3 linked regions of the Arabidopsis thaliana genome follow. The protein of the gene in region 1 purifies or fractionates together with the protein of each later gene. This does not show direct contact. Each region holds a gene or a part of one and is shown in the gene's direction. Other genes may lie near its edges.

Region 1 (5,389 bases):
CACTCATCTATAGAGAGACTATACACAACCAAATAAAAAATCTGCAATTTTTGTGGTGTAAAAAACAATAATCATGTCATTTTCATATAAGAAACTCTATGTTTCTTAATCTTATTTCTTTGTTTGAGTCAAGTAGAAAAAGACATGAATAATGTTGAATCAAGACTTTATCTTTACCGTTAAAAGAGACGGACCCACTTTGCCGCCGTCAAATTTAAAAAATGCAAAAGATTTGTCTTTTACTTTCTTTCTTCATCAACGGCTCTCTGATCCACAGTAGCCGGAGAAAAAGCAGAGAGCTCAAATTGTCGGAATTAAGAATCCCCAAATCACATCTTCAAGAACCCTAATAAATTCCCAGAGATTCCTCTCATTTAATCACTTCAGATTCGAAAAAAGTTCTCTCTTTTTCCCAAAAAAAACTTTCTCATACAATGGACTCTACTACCACACCTCCTTCTCTCCGTTCGAATACTAGATCCGCTTTGCGTCTAGCTCGAAACAACAAAACTCTCGTAAAATCTCACATTCCATCTCTCGATTTGGTTTTATTGTCTCCGAAGAACAACAACGGTACTCCTTACCCATCACCTGTTTCTCTCAGTTCACCATCTTCTCCTGTTACTCTTCGTGAGATTCTCCTTTTATCTCCTTCCCCTCTTCGTAAATCGAGAACCCGTTTAAGCAATCGGTTCGATATGGAAGCTGCGGAGGCTGCTGTGACGGCACGACGGAGTAAGACGAAGGGAGGGCAAAATGGTCTTTTGGCCTCGCCGTCGCCGAGGAATTTCCGGAGGTCGAGACTAAGGTCGGAGGCGATGGTAGATACAAAGGAAAATACGGAGCCAATTGTTGTCGTGACCGATGAAAAGAAACAAAACCAGAGGAAACAGAAGAAGTTGGGTCGATCTAAGAAGGAGAAGCACAGTTCTGTTCCTCTGTTAGCTTCTCCTAGTCCATCTTCAGATCAACGTATGTCCTTCCTCTGTCTATTAGCTCATTCGATTTCACTTTCGTGCTCTAATAATTGCTCAATGATTTGTGTAATTCAGCTCAAGATGTTTGTCAAGGTGATTTAGAGCGGATTAGAGAGAATATAAGCGATTTGATTATGTGGAGAGATGTTGCGAAATCAACACTTTGGTTTGGTTTTGGCTGTATATGTTTCCTATCTACTTGCTTTGCTGCTAAAGGATTTAACTTTAGGTAACATTGATTTCTCTGTCAAGGTTTATCTTTCTAGCTTTAATCATTTTTCACATTCATGAGTTGATAATGAAACTTTGTGTGGTTTGAAGTGTTTTCTCAGCGATCTCCTATCTTGGACTTTTGTTTCTTGGGGTATCGTTCTTGTCAAATACTCTTCGCCAAAGGTACAAACTTTTAAGGTCCCAGTACATAAATATCAGCTTGAACTGCAGTTGACTGAAGTTTTGATCCATTTGTTACCATAAAGGGTTACTGAAGAAGCGCGGAGAGAGCTTAAATTGAGTGAAGATGATGTATTACGAATAGCTAGACGAATGCTTCCCATCACCAATTTAGCAATTTCAAAGACGAGTGAGCTTTTCTCTGGTGAACCAGCAATGACACTCAAAGTAGAATTTACAAAACTTTGCCATTCTCATAAAACTTCTCTCCAATGAATGTGACTCTCACGTTGATTTTGTCCTTCTTACACTGTTTTTACTTTGATTTCAGGTGGCACCTTTTGTTCTAATGGGAGCTGAGTATGGTTACCTCATAACATTGTGGAGATTATGTGCTTTTGGTATGATTGTTGAAACACTATATGTCAACATTACTCCAAAGAAAGCTAAACTGTTTTCTTTAGTTGTATCTAGTAGAATTGACACAGAGTATGCATTGTTTCTTTAAACAGGTTTCTTCCTTAGCTTCACTATTCCAAAGCTATATTCATGTTACGCAAGTCAGCTTAACCAAAAAGGTAAACTCTATTAACAGACTGCGTAGCTCTTTGATGGTTCCAATGATTGACACTAAGGATTCTTTGATCTTTGCTTATGTGTAGTTGAGTGTGCACAAAGGAGATTTGTTGAAGCTTGGGGAGTTTGCACACACAAGAAATTCGTAGCAGGCTCTGCAGTTACTGCATTCTGGAATCTAACTTCTCTCAAGACCCGTTTTATTGCAGTGTTTATCATAGTAGTAGTAATCAGATACAGACGACAGAATCTACAGTTAGATTCCGAGGATGAGGAGGAGAAGAAGCAACAAGAAAAAACTCACCCGGAGCAACAAAAATCGCCGGAGGATAAGTCAACTTCACCGCGGTCAGCAGAAGAAGAGCAAGCGTTGGTGCTAGTTGCAGAAACCAAAGCACCAAAGAAGCTTTATTAGTCTAGTCACTAGTGTCTTTTCAGTATCCACCTGTGTAATAATATTTCACATTTACGTAATAATAAATAAAGAGCAGTCATTAATATCAAATAATAAATTGACACGTGACAAGCTCATGAAACTGTGAGAAGCAGGTGATAAAAACTCTCGTCCGTCTTGGGAGAGAGCACATCGTCGTCTTTTCTTTATAAACCCTAAATTCCCATTTCTCTTCTCCAAAAGTTTTATCGATTCCACCAAATTAGGGCGAACGCGAAATCTGGGTATTGTAATTTGAAGCGATGGCGACGACTGGAACTGCTGCGGTTGCGACGGGAACTTCGACGGTGAAGAGAAAACCGGTGTTTGTGAAGGTGGAACAGCTAAAGCCTGGAACGACTGGTCACACGTTGACTGTTAAAGTCATTGAGGCTAATATCGTGGTTCCTGTTACCCGGAAGACTCGTCCAGCGAGTTCTCTGAGTCGTCCTTCTCAGCCTAGTCGAATCGTTGAGTGTCTCATCGGTGACGAAACTGGGTGTATCCTCTTCACTGCTCGTAACGATCAAGGTTATTGTTTCTCCACTTTTCTCTTGCTTTATGGATATAGAAATGGTGTCTTCGTAGTTTATTAGAGTGATAAGTCTTATCCTTTGTTGTTCTCTCGTTTGTCTTAATCAATTTCTATTTTGAGCAAATGGTAAATGTGTTTCTATTAGTACTATTTGGTAAATGATGTATCAGTTATTGTATGTGTATTTAGTGATGTCTTTGTGAAATTGAAGCTTGAAAGAATCTTGGCCTTGAGGGTCTGTAACTCTGTATAGTCTTACCTATAGTGATGATGAAACTTGCTTGGTTAGATGTTGAGTTATGTTCAATTGAATGGTCTACATTATCCCAAAACTTTCATAGCTTTTCATAATGTGAAGTTTTGTTATACCAGTTTTCGTGCAATTGATGTGGCTACTGATTAGCTCTAATGATGTTATTGGTTTTTTTTGTGTGTGTGTGTGTGTGTATAGTTGATCTTATGAAGCCGGGTGCTACGGTGATACTGCGCAATTCAAGGATAGACATGTTCAAGGGTACAATGAGGCTAGGAGTTGATAAATGGGGACGCATCGAAGCCACTGGAGCCGCGTCTTTCACTGTCAAGGAGGATAACAATCTGTCTCTCGTTGAGTATGAACTGATCAATGTTGGTGGTGATCAGTGATCTTTTAGTATGTTTATGGAGGTTAACCCCTGAGAGTGTTGGGTTCTGATTTTTCTACCGTGAAGGTCTTTGATTTAGATGATGAAGATTGTATGACTGGTCCAGAGTTGCTTGTAGGAATATGCTTCTTCTTTTTTACCCTAAAATATGCGGTCATGATCTTGCTCTGGAGAACTATTGAGCCTGCGGTAATGGCGTAATGCAATTGTTCCTTTTAATTTGTGTTGATGTAAGTTAAAGACCATTGAGAGCTTGCTTGTGCACTATCTAATACAGTAAAAATAAGTTTTTCTTTCTTAAACTTTACTAATGTCTTTGTTTTTTCATTAATTACTATTTGATGTACACTATTGTACCCTCTCGGTTACAGAGAGTTTTGCCCAACTTTTTACATCGAAAGCATCTCATCCTTGATTAATGTCATTGTTAAGACAAATTGTAAGTGCATAAAATTCATCGACGGATCATAGAACCATTGTCTAGTTAAGTCGGTCTAATTCCAAACTTTATAAATCTTTGAAATCAGAATGTTACTTTGAAGATCAGCTTTGTAACACCAAAAACGAATAGTTAATGAACACAATACGTAGTGAAGAGAAAAAAGAAAACGAAATGGGTAATAACTTAATGGCATAAAGAAAGGCTTACAACACAGCAAAAATGTTCATGTTCCTAATCTTACCCTCACTATACCAATACAATCCTCTCCACGTATCATCATCCTTGAAAGGAACAAACGGAGAAAGAGTAGAGTCACTCCACTTCTTTGATGATCTTTCTTTTGCGCAGAGGTGCTGTGACCACTGTTCCTGGAGCACTGTGAGCTTTCCTTCGTGCTTCTTTTCTTCTCTTCGAATCGTTCACAGTTCGAATGATACCCATCGCTTTGTATATTGGTTTTGGCAAGTGCCTGTGTCTGTAATTCACAATAACCAAAACGTTACCATGTTACTATAGTTATCTTTTGACAATCTCCAGAGTTAAAGCATGGGATAAAACCACAGTTTTCATTGGTCATTTACCTCACAATGCGCTTAACCTCAGAAAGATGCTTGTACCGGTTCTTCACAGCCTCGTTGTACTCATGCTTCTTTTGTTCCCTTGGAAGAATCTGCAGCACAACACACCAATTAACATTGACAATTCACCGTTCCAAGTTAAAACTTCTTAAGAAAGCATGTACGAGTAATATCTCATAATCATATGCACTATTGGATCAACTGCTAAGCCTGTGGTAACTCTTTTTTGGTCTTTATTTTGTATAAATTCACAGAATCTTACAACTCCCAATTGCTCTGATGCCTTTGCCTTCCATAGCCTGAGATTGGTGTCATCACTGCCCGATATTACATATGTAGCATCACAGCTATATTTGACACAGAATACTCTACAAGAAAAAAGAAATGAAATTTAGAAATTGCTTAGACTAAATCAAATTACCAAGGTGGTACACTAGAACATCTGAACTTGAAGTATATATAGACTGTTCAGTAGATTGTACCTCTGCATCCTCTTTGTATGGTAGATTTCCCTGCTGTGTCCTCCATTGTATGGGAAGATTCTCACAGATCGATCATAAGAACCCGTAACAAACTCACGACCAGTCGGTGAAAAGTCAATATCCATCCTGAAAAATGATGAAATTAGATAATCATAATGCATTTGGATGATATCTTGTTAAATATTATAGCTGATACTTGAGATAAATCATTCTTCATTCTTACACTGCAGAAACATGATCTTTATGCACGCACTTGGCTTCGTCCAACTTTCTACCATCAAAGCTATAGCAACTTCCATCTTCATTAGCCTATTCAGTTTCCCCATGGG
Region 2 (3,423 bases), on another chromosome or scaffold:
CGAGGACTATTGGGTAAAATCAAGGTTGCCTCATGCAACAATTTTCAAGCCTACTCAACCATATAAACGCTTAGTGGGTGAAACATTCAAGGAGTTTCCTCAGCCAGCTTTAGCCCTTCTTGAAACTCTCCTTTCAGTCAATCCTGACGATCGTGGAACTGCCACTGCAGCTCTCAAGAGTGAGGTACTGGCATTACTCAGGCAGTAAAAGCTGTGTGTTCTTATGCGTCTGTATTTCCTGGTAATCGCTTTTGTAACATCAAATTATCATTCTTTTATTTTCAGTTCTTCTCCACCAGACCTCTTCCATGTGATCCTTCAAGCTTGCCTAAATATCCTCCCAGCAAAGAGCTCGATGCAAGAATGCGGGATGAGGAAAGTAGAAGGTATGCCATCCAGATTTTCTAGTCTGATGTGACTTTTATCCTGCAATGCTCTTACGATAGCATAGTATCATTAACGCAAAAAGAAATATTTATAGAAATGCTTTAATCTAGTTCCTGTTTTTGTAGACAAGTTGGAGGAAACAGGGACCAAAGACACCAAGAAAGAAGAGGAACTAAGGAATCTCGAGCCATCCCAGCCCCTGACGCAAATGCAGAGCTGGTTGCATCAATGCAGGTTAAAAAATCTTAAAAAATCTATTTCTTTCGATGTTAAAGCTTTTTGCTTTTATTCAACGTTTTTGACCCTCTCGCATTTATGTCATTGCAGAAAAGGCAGAGCCAGTCTACTAATAGAAGTCGAAGCGAGAAGTTTAATCCACATCCTGAAGAAGTTGCATCCGGTTTCCCAATCGATCCACCAAGGCCGTCATCACAAGCATTTGAACCAAACAGAGAATCTCAGGGCAATATAATTCCTCACAAGAGAGCTTCACATTCTGGTCCTCTATCACGTAGATCTGCTTCCGCAAAGGGTAGACGGAATTACCAAGATTCTCAAAAGGTTTCATCCATAGCTGATTACTCAGCAATGCCTGGTTTTGCCGCAACAAGAACAGGCGCACCACAACAAGAGACTTGCAGAGGAATGACTCGGCTTCCAGGTTCATTCAAGGAAACGTCTGAAGAAGCAAACCAGGAAGAGAATGGTCGAAGCAACAAGAAAGACCCTATTCTCGTAAGTTCCCTAAACGTCCCTCCTTTGCTAATTTTAGAAGACTAGCAATGTTAATATTCTGAGTTGTATGGTTTGGTTTGCAGTTGGGTTATGGATCAAAAGGGCACAAGATTCATTACTCAGGACCGTTAGTGGTTCCATCAGGAAACATGGATCAAGTGTTGAAAGACCATGACCGACATATCCAAGAAGCTGTGAGAAGAGCACGAATCGATAAGGCTCGAGTCAAGAAACTTCAAGCTGACGAAGCTTCGAGCCAACAAGTCGCAACCAATCATCCCTCATCTGTTTCTAGCCGTTGATCCATCAGTGAGGCAAAAGTAAATGATCAAACCGAACCTCATTTGCCTGAAACCTTTTAACACGGCGTATTTTGAGTGAAAAATAATTGTATTTTATTGATTCAAAGATTATATATCATCATAGAATCAAATCTTTTCACGTTTTAGCTTCCCTGTAATGTGATATTATTTTATTATAAGAAAGCTGTAGAAACAGAGTTATATATCATAATTTAGAAAATGTTCCAAAAGTTGAACTTTTTAATTTGTGACTTTTTATGAAATTTACCAAGAAAGGTGTTACGAGATCTTTACTTGTGAAAAATAAATGATCTTGTCGAGTCAAACTTTGTTGGCTCTCTTTCACTATATAAATCTTGTTATCCTCTTATACTTTCCATATCCAAGAAAAAAATAAACAGAATTGCAGATCAAAACACTCTGTTTCATTCCTCTGTTTTTTGCTCTGTTTTGCTCTCACGCCATAACGTGTTCTGCTTACAGTTTCGACTTCATTTACTTCGGAAATGGAACTGATCTGATGACATTCCATGGAGACGCCGAGTACGCTTCAGAGCCTGATGGTATGAGCAAGTCAGGAGCAATTGGATTGAGCCGTGACAATGTCCCATTCTCTCATGGTCGAGCCATTTTCATCAATCCAGTCCCTTTTAAGCCTAGTTCTACTTCTTCCTCTGTCTACTCTTTCAAAACTTCTTTCTATTTCGTCATTAGTCCTCGCCCGAAAAATCCTAATCCCGGTCATGGCCTCGCCTTTATCATCGTCCCCAACGATAGAAACGACTCCGCTTCTGGTTTAGGCTATCTCAGTCTTGTGAACCGGTTTAGCAACGGTAATCCCAAGAACCATCTCTTTGCGGTTGAGTTTGATGTTTTTAAAGACAAGTCTCTTGGCGACATTAACGATAACCATATCGGAATCAACAATAATTCGGTTAATTCAACGGTATCTAAGAAGGCCGGTTATTGGTATCAATCAAAAATCGAAGGAAAAAACCGGTGGTTGTTCAAGGAATTGAAGCTAAGTGGAAACGGATACAGGGCTTGGATTGAGTACGAGAACGGGAAAGTGACAGTCACGATCGGACGTTCACAAGAAAAACCGAAGAGGCCATTGATCGAAGCACGAGTCGATCTTTCTAAGGTTTTTCTCGAGAAAATGTATGTCGGTTTTGCCGGTTCAATGGGACGTGGCGTCGAGCGTCACGAGATCTTGGACTGGAGTTTTGAGAACAGTGCCAAAGACTAATAAACCGGTTTGCTTCAGCTTTGTTTATGTCAAAGTTGTTACTGGTTTTGCAGCTTCGTTTTCTGTCGTGAATCTCGTGATGCTAAGGCTAGTGATAGTTGAAGGCTAATAAATGCTTATGTTATGGCCTAACGTGCCATGTATCTACTTTCAGATTTCTAGAAAGATTTACAATAAAGGATCCATTTCCATAGTAAGAACTATTAGATATCGTAATCTTCTATGAGACGGTAAATTGCTGAAAAACCAGTAAGGCATGTGCCTATGTAGGCTTCAACATAGATCCTTTCCTGCAACGATCTATGTCAAGAATTAACTACAAATATTCGTCATTTGAAACATATTCTCACACAATACGTTTCATTGAGTGAAACTCGGTATACAAACTTAATCACACCATGAAAATAGACTACTCTCCACACACAAAAAAAATGTACCAGTAAGGAAATTTGAACACATACGTATGACATCCAACCATATCATGATACTTCTTTATCATCAAGTCGGGTAAGCCCTATTTCGCCTGATTTGGCTCTCATCTCAAAATTTCTCCGACCTTTTTCTGGACGAGTCGTCTCGTCTTCTTTCCCTTTTTGTAACCTCATTGCAAGTTTGCAACAACAAAAACAATCCAATGATTACTTCATTGCATGGTTTAAACAAAAACAATCCAATAATATATATACATATTTTATCAATAAAGTATATTTATAAGTTAGGTTGATTTTTTTAATATATTTTTTTTTTATT
Region 3 (3,552 bases), on another chromosome or scaffold:
GTTTGATGTTTTTAAAGACAAGTCTCTTGGCGACATTAACGATAACCATATCGGAATCAACAATAATTCGGTTAATTCAACGGTATCTAAGAAGGCCGGTTATTGGTATCAATCAAAAATCGAAGGAAAAAACCGGTGGTTGTTCAAGGAATTGAAGCTAAGTGGAAACGGATACAGGGCTTGGATTGAGTACGAGAACGGGAAAGTGACAGTCACGATCGGACGTTCACAAGAAAAACCGAAGAGGCCATTGATCGAAGCACGAGTCGATCTTTCTAAGGTTTTTCTCGAGAAAATGTATGTCGGTTTTGCCGGTTCAATGGGACGTGGCGTCGAGCGTCACGAGATCTTGGACTGGAGTTTTGAGAACAGTGCCAAAGACTAATAAACCGGTTTGCTTCAGCTTTGTTTATGTCAAAGTTGTTACTGGTTTTGCAGCTTCGTTTTCTGTCGTGAATCTCGTGATGCTAAGGCTAGTGATAGTTGAAGGCTAATAAATGCTTATGTTATGGCCTAACGTGCCATGTATCTACTTTCAGATTTCTAGAAAGATTTACAATAAAGGATCCATTTCCATAGTAAGAACTATTAGATATCGTAATCTTCTATGAGACGGTAAATTGCTGAAAAACCAGTAAGGCATGTGCCTATGTAGGCTTCAACATAGATCCTTTCCTGCAACGATCTATGTCAAGAATTAACTACAAATATTCGTCATTTGAAACATATTCTCACACAATACGTTTCATTGAGTGAAACTCGGTATACAAACTTAATCACACCATGAAAATAGACTACTCTCCACACACAAAAAAAATGTACCAGTAAGGAAATTTGAACACATACGTATGACATCCAACCATATCATGATACTTCTTTATCATCAAGTCGGGTAAGCCCTATTTCGCCTGATTTGGCTCTCATCTCAAAATTTCTCCGACCTTTTTCTGGACGAGTCGTCTCGTCTTCTTTCCCTTTTTGTAACCTCATTGCAAGTTTGCAACAACAAAAACAATCCAATGATTACTTCATTGCATGGTTTAAACAAAAACAATCCAATAATATATATACATATTTTATCAATAAAGTATATTTATAAGTTAGGTTGATTTTTTTAATATATTTTTTTTTTATTTTTTTATTTTATATTATTTACTAAGACATTCTATTTTGGTTTAAAAACTTTAGAACTAAATGGTGATGATTTAAAAGTTAAATGGAGTGATTTAAAAGTAAACAAATGTTTCTTTAGTATCAAACTTTGTTAATTTTTAGGTCATAATCAAATTGAATGACATTAAAGAAAAATCTAACCATTTAATATACATATATACACATAATGGAAATTGTTAATTTGGTGATAATAAGAGAAGTTAAAAATACATGATTTGGTAACTCTATATATTTGAAAAAAATTTAAATGTGTTTGGTAAATGACTAAATGGTTTAAAGAGAATGAGGATAAAGAAAAATGTGTTTGACAAATTGATAGTTATAACAAAATAATTAAATAGTAAAAAAGCTGAGAGAAAAAATGTGGGATTGTCACATAAGCACTAAAAACTTTTAATATATAAAGGACACATAGTATATTGTTAATTAAGAAAAATTTGGTTTTGGTATAACTTAATGAAATATGATAGATTTGATCATGAATGTGGACTAACTTATATCTTTCCTAACCTATATATTAGGACAGACTAACTTATATACATATATAAGTTTATTCAATCAATACTAGTTTTAATTTCCTCCTATACACTCATAACGTTTTTGTTTTCAGCATTGTGGGCACAGAAAAAGTAGAACCATTTTGTGCACTTTCGAGAACAGCTTTTGTCATCTAATGCCATAATTCAAATTCTTTGTCTCTCTTCTCTCTCAATTATTTTAAGTCTTCTCGATCTTTTCAACACTCACATCTTTTAAAGTTCACCACTTTCACTTCCCAAATTCCCAAAAACAGAACTAAAAAATGAAGATCCAAATACTCTGTTTCACCACTCTGTTCTTAGCTATCTTCACCTCTCAAGTCACCACTGCTTACAAATTCAAATTCGATTACTTTGGTAACGGCACCGATCCAATATCATTCCATGGAGACGCTGAGTATGGTCCTGACACTGATGGCAAGAGCCGGTCCGGAGCCATCGCATTGACTCGAGACAACATTCCTTTCTCTCATGGTCGAGCCATTTTCACCACTCCAATCACTTTCAAGCCTAATGCTTCAGCTCTTTACCCTTTTAAAACCTCTTTCACTTTCTCCATTACTCCTAAAACAAACCCTAATCAAGGTCATGGCCTTGCTTTCATCGTCGTCCCAAGTAACCAAAACGACGCCGGTTCCGGTTTAGGCTATCTCAGTCTTCTGAACCGAACCAATAACGGTAATCCTAATAACCACCTCTTTGCCGTTGAGTTCGATGTCTTTCAAGACAAATCTCTTGGCGACATGAACGATAACCATGTCGGAATCGATATTAATTCGGTTGATTCGGTGGTTTCTGTGAAATCCGGTTATTGGGTTATGACAAGAAGCGGTTGGTTATTTAAGGATTTGAAGCTAAGTAGTGGAGATAGATACAAGGCTTGGATTGAGTACAACAACAATTATAAAGTAGTCTCTGTTACGATTGGTTTAGCGCATTTGAAGAAACCGAACCGGCCATTGATTGAAGCAAAATTCGATCTTTCCAAGGTCATACACGAGGTAATGTATACCGGTTTTGCTGGTTCGATGGGTCGTGGTGTCGAGCGTCACGAGATTTGGGACTGGACTTTCCAGAATTAAGAAAACAGGTTTGGTTTGGTTCGAGATCATCGGTTTTCTTTTGGTTTATGTTTCTGGTTTACCCTGGTGTGCCTTCAGCTTGTGATAATTGAAGTGAAATAATTGCTCATTTTATGTCTTACCGACAATTTGATGTATTATTGTTGTCAGATTAGTAGAAATCAAGGACGTTTCGTTCCTAATCTTTTATGTTAGTCACTTTTAAATTACATTTCTCGTTGACAAAAAAAGAAAAAATGATTTTACATTCTATCAAAATTGGCCAACATGACTAGATGAGAATCAGATTTATAGGAGAAATGTGGAGATCGTAGTTATGGGACTATCAAAATAGTCTAAAACATCTTAACATGTTTACCGGAAAAAAAGAGTCTACTACCAACTATGTTGTTTTGTGGAAGACTTTTAAAGAGGAAATGTTACATGCCAAGTGGATTATAACACTCCATGATGCGACTTGGAAAATGAGAGATCTAGGAACGAAGGAAAGGAGGACTTGATGAATTGTCGGAAAGTTGTCTCGTTTCTTTCAGATTATGTTGTAAAAGTGTGATAGAGATGAATGCTCTTTGAGATTATATATCGTGGTTGTATATACGCTCTTTCTCATATCTATTTCGTATTCTCCCTCTTTCAGTGAGATATTTTTTTAGTGTTTTTGCTTTATCCAATTGAAGAGTGTGTCCTCGTTGTCGAGGCTTGGACAGACAGCATCTCATAATTTTACCTACGACGATGTGATTTGACTACAATCATCA

Evidence for each region.
Region 2: the proteins of AT4G28440 (region 1) and AT1G53060 fractionate together in Arabidopsis thaliana (co-fractionation; one large-scale study listed by BioGRID). This does not show direct contact.
Region 3: the proteins of AT4G28440 (region 1) and AT1G53070 fractionate together in Arabidopsis thaliana (co-fractionation; one large-scale study listed by BioGRID). This does not show direct contact.

What each region holds. Positions count from the first base shown.
Region 1 is NC_003075.7:14,057,412-14,062,800, forward strand, and holds AT4G28440 (Nucleic acid-binding, OB-fold-like protein), read left to right. Parts: upstream 1-2,484; 5' UTR 2,485-2,642; coding exon 2,643-2,910; intron 2,911-3,365; coding exon 3,366-3,559; 3' UTR 3,560-3,975; downstream 3,976-5,389. Other genes in the region: AT4G28430 (Reticulon family protein), read left to right, coding at 435-972, 1,053-1,206, 1,299-1,373, 1,457-1,598, 1,702-1,771, 1,883-1,948, 2,033-2,361; AT4G28450 (WD repeat and SOF domain-containing protein 1), read right to left, coding at 4,313-4,475, 4,582-4,670, 4,841-4,946, 5,061-5,186, 5,284-5,369.
Region 2 is NC_003070.9:19,774,108-19,777,530, forward strand, and holds AT1G53060 (Legume lectin family protein), read left to right. Parts: upstream 1-1,815; 5' UTR 1,816-1,944; coding exon 1,945-2,673; 3' UTR 2,674-2,923; downstream 2,924-3,423. Other genes in the region: AT1G53050 (Protein kinase superfamily protein), read left to right, coding at 1-184, 286-386, 513-621, 715-1,122, 1,206-1,424.
Region 3 is NC_003070.9:19,776,396-19,779,947, forward strand, and holds AT1G53070 (Legume lectin family protein), read left to right. Parts: upstream 1-1,737; 5' UTR 1,738-1,975; coding exon 1,976-2,794; 3' UTR 2,795-3,052; downstream 3,053-3,552. Other genes in the region: AT1G53060 (Legume lectin family protein), read left to right, coding at 1-385.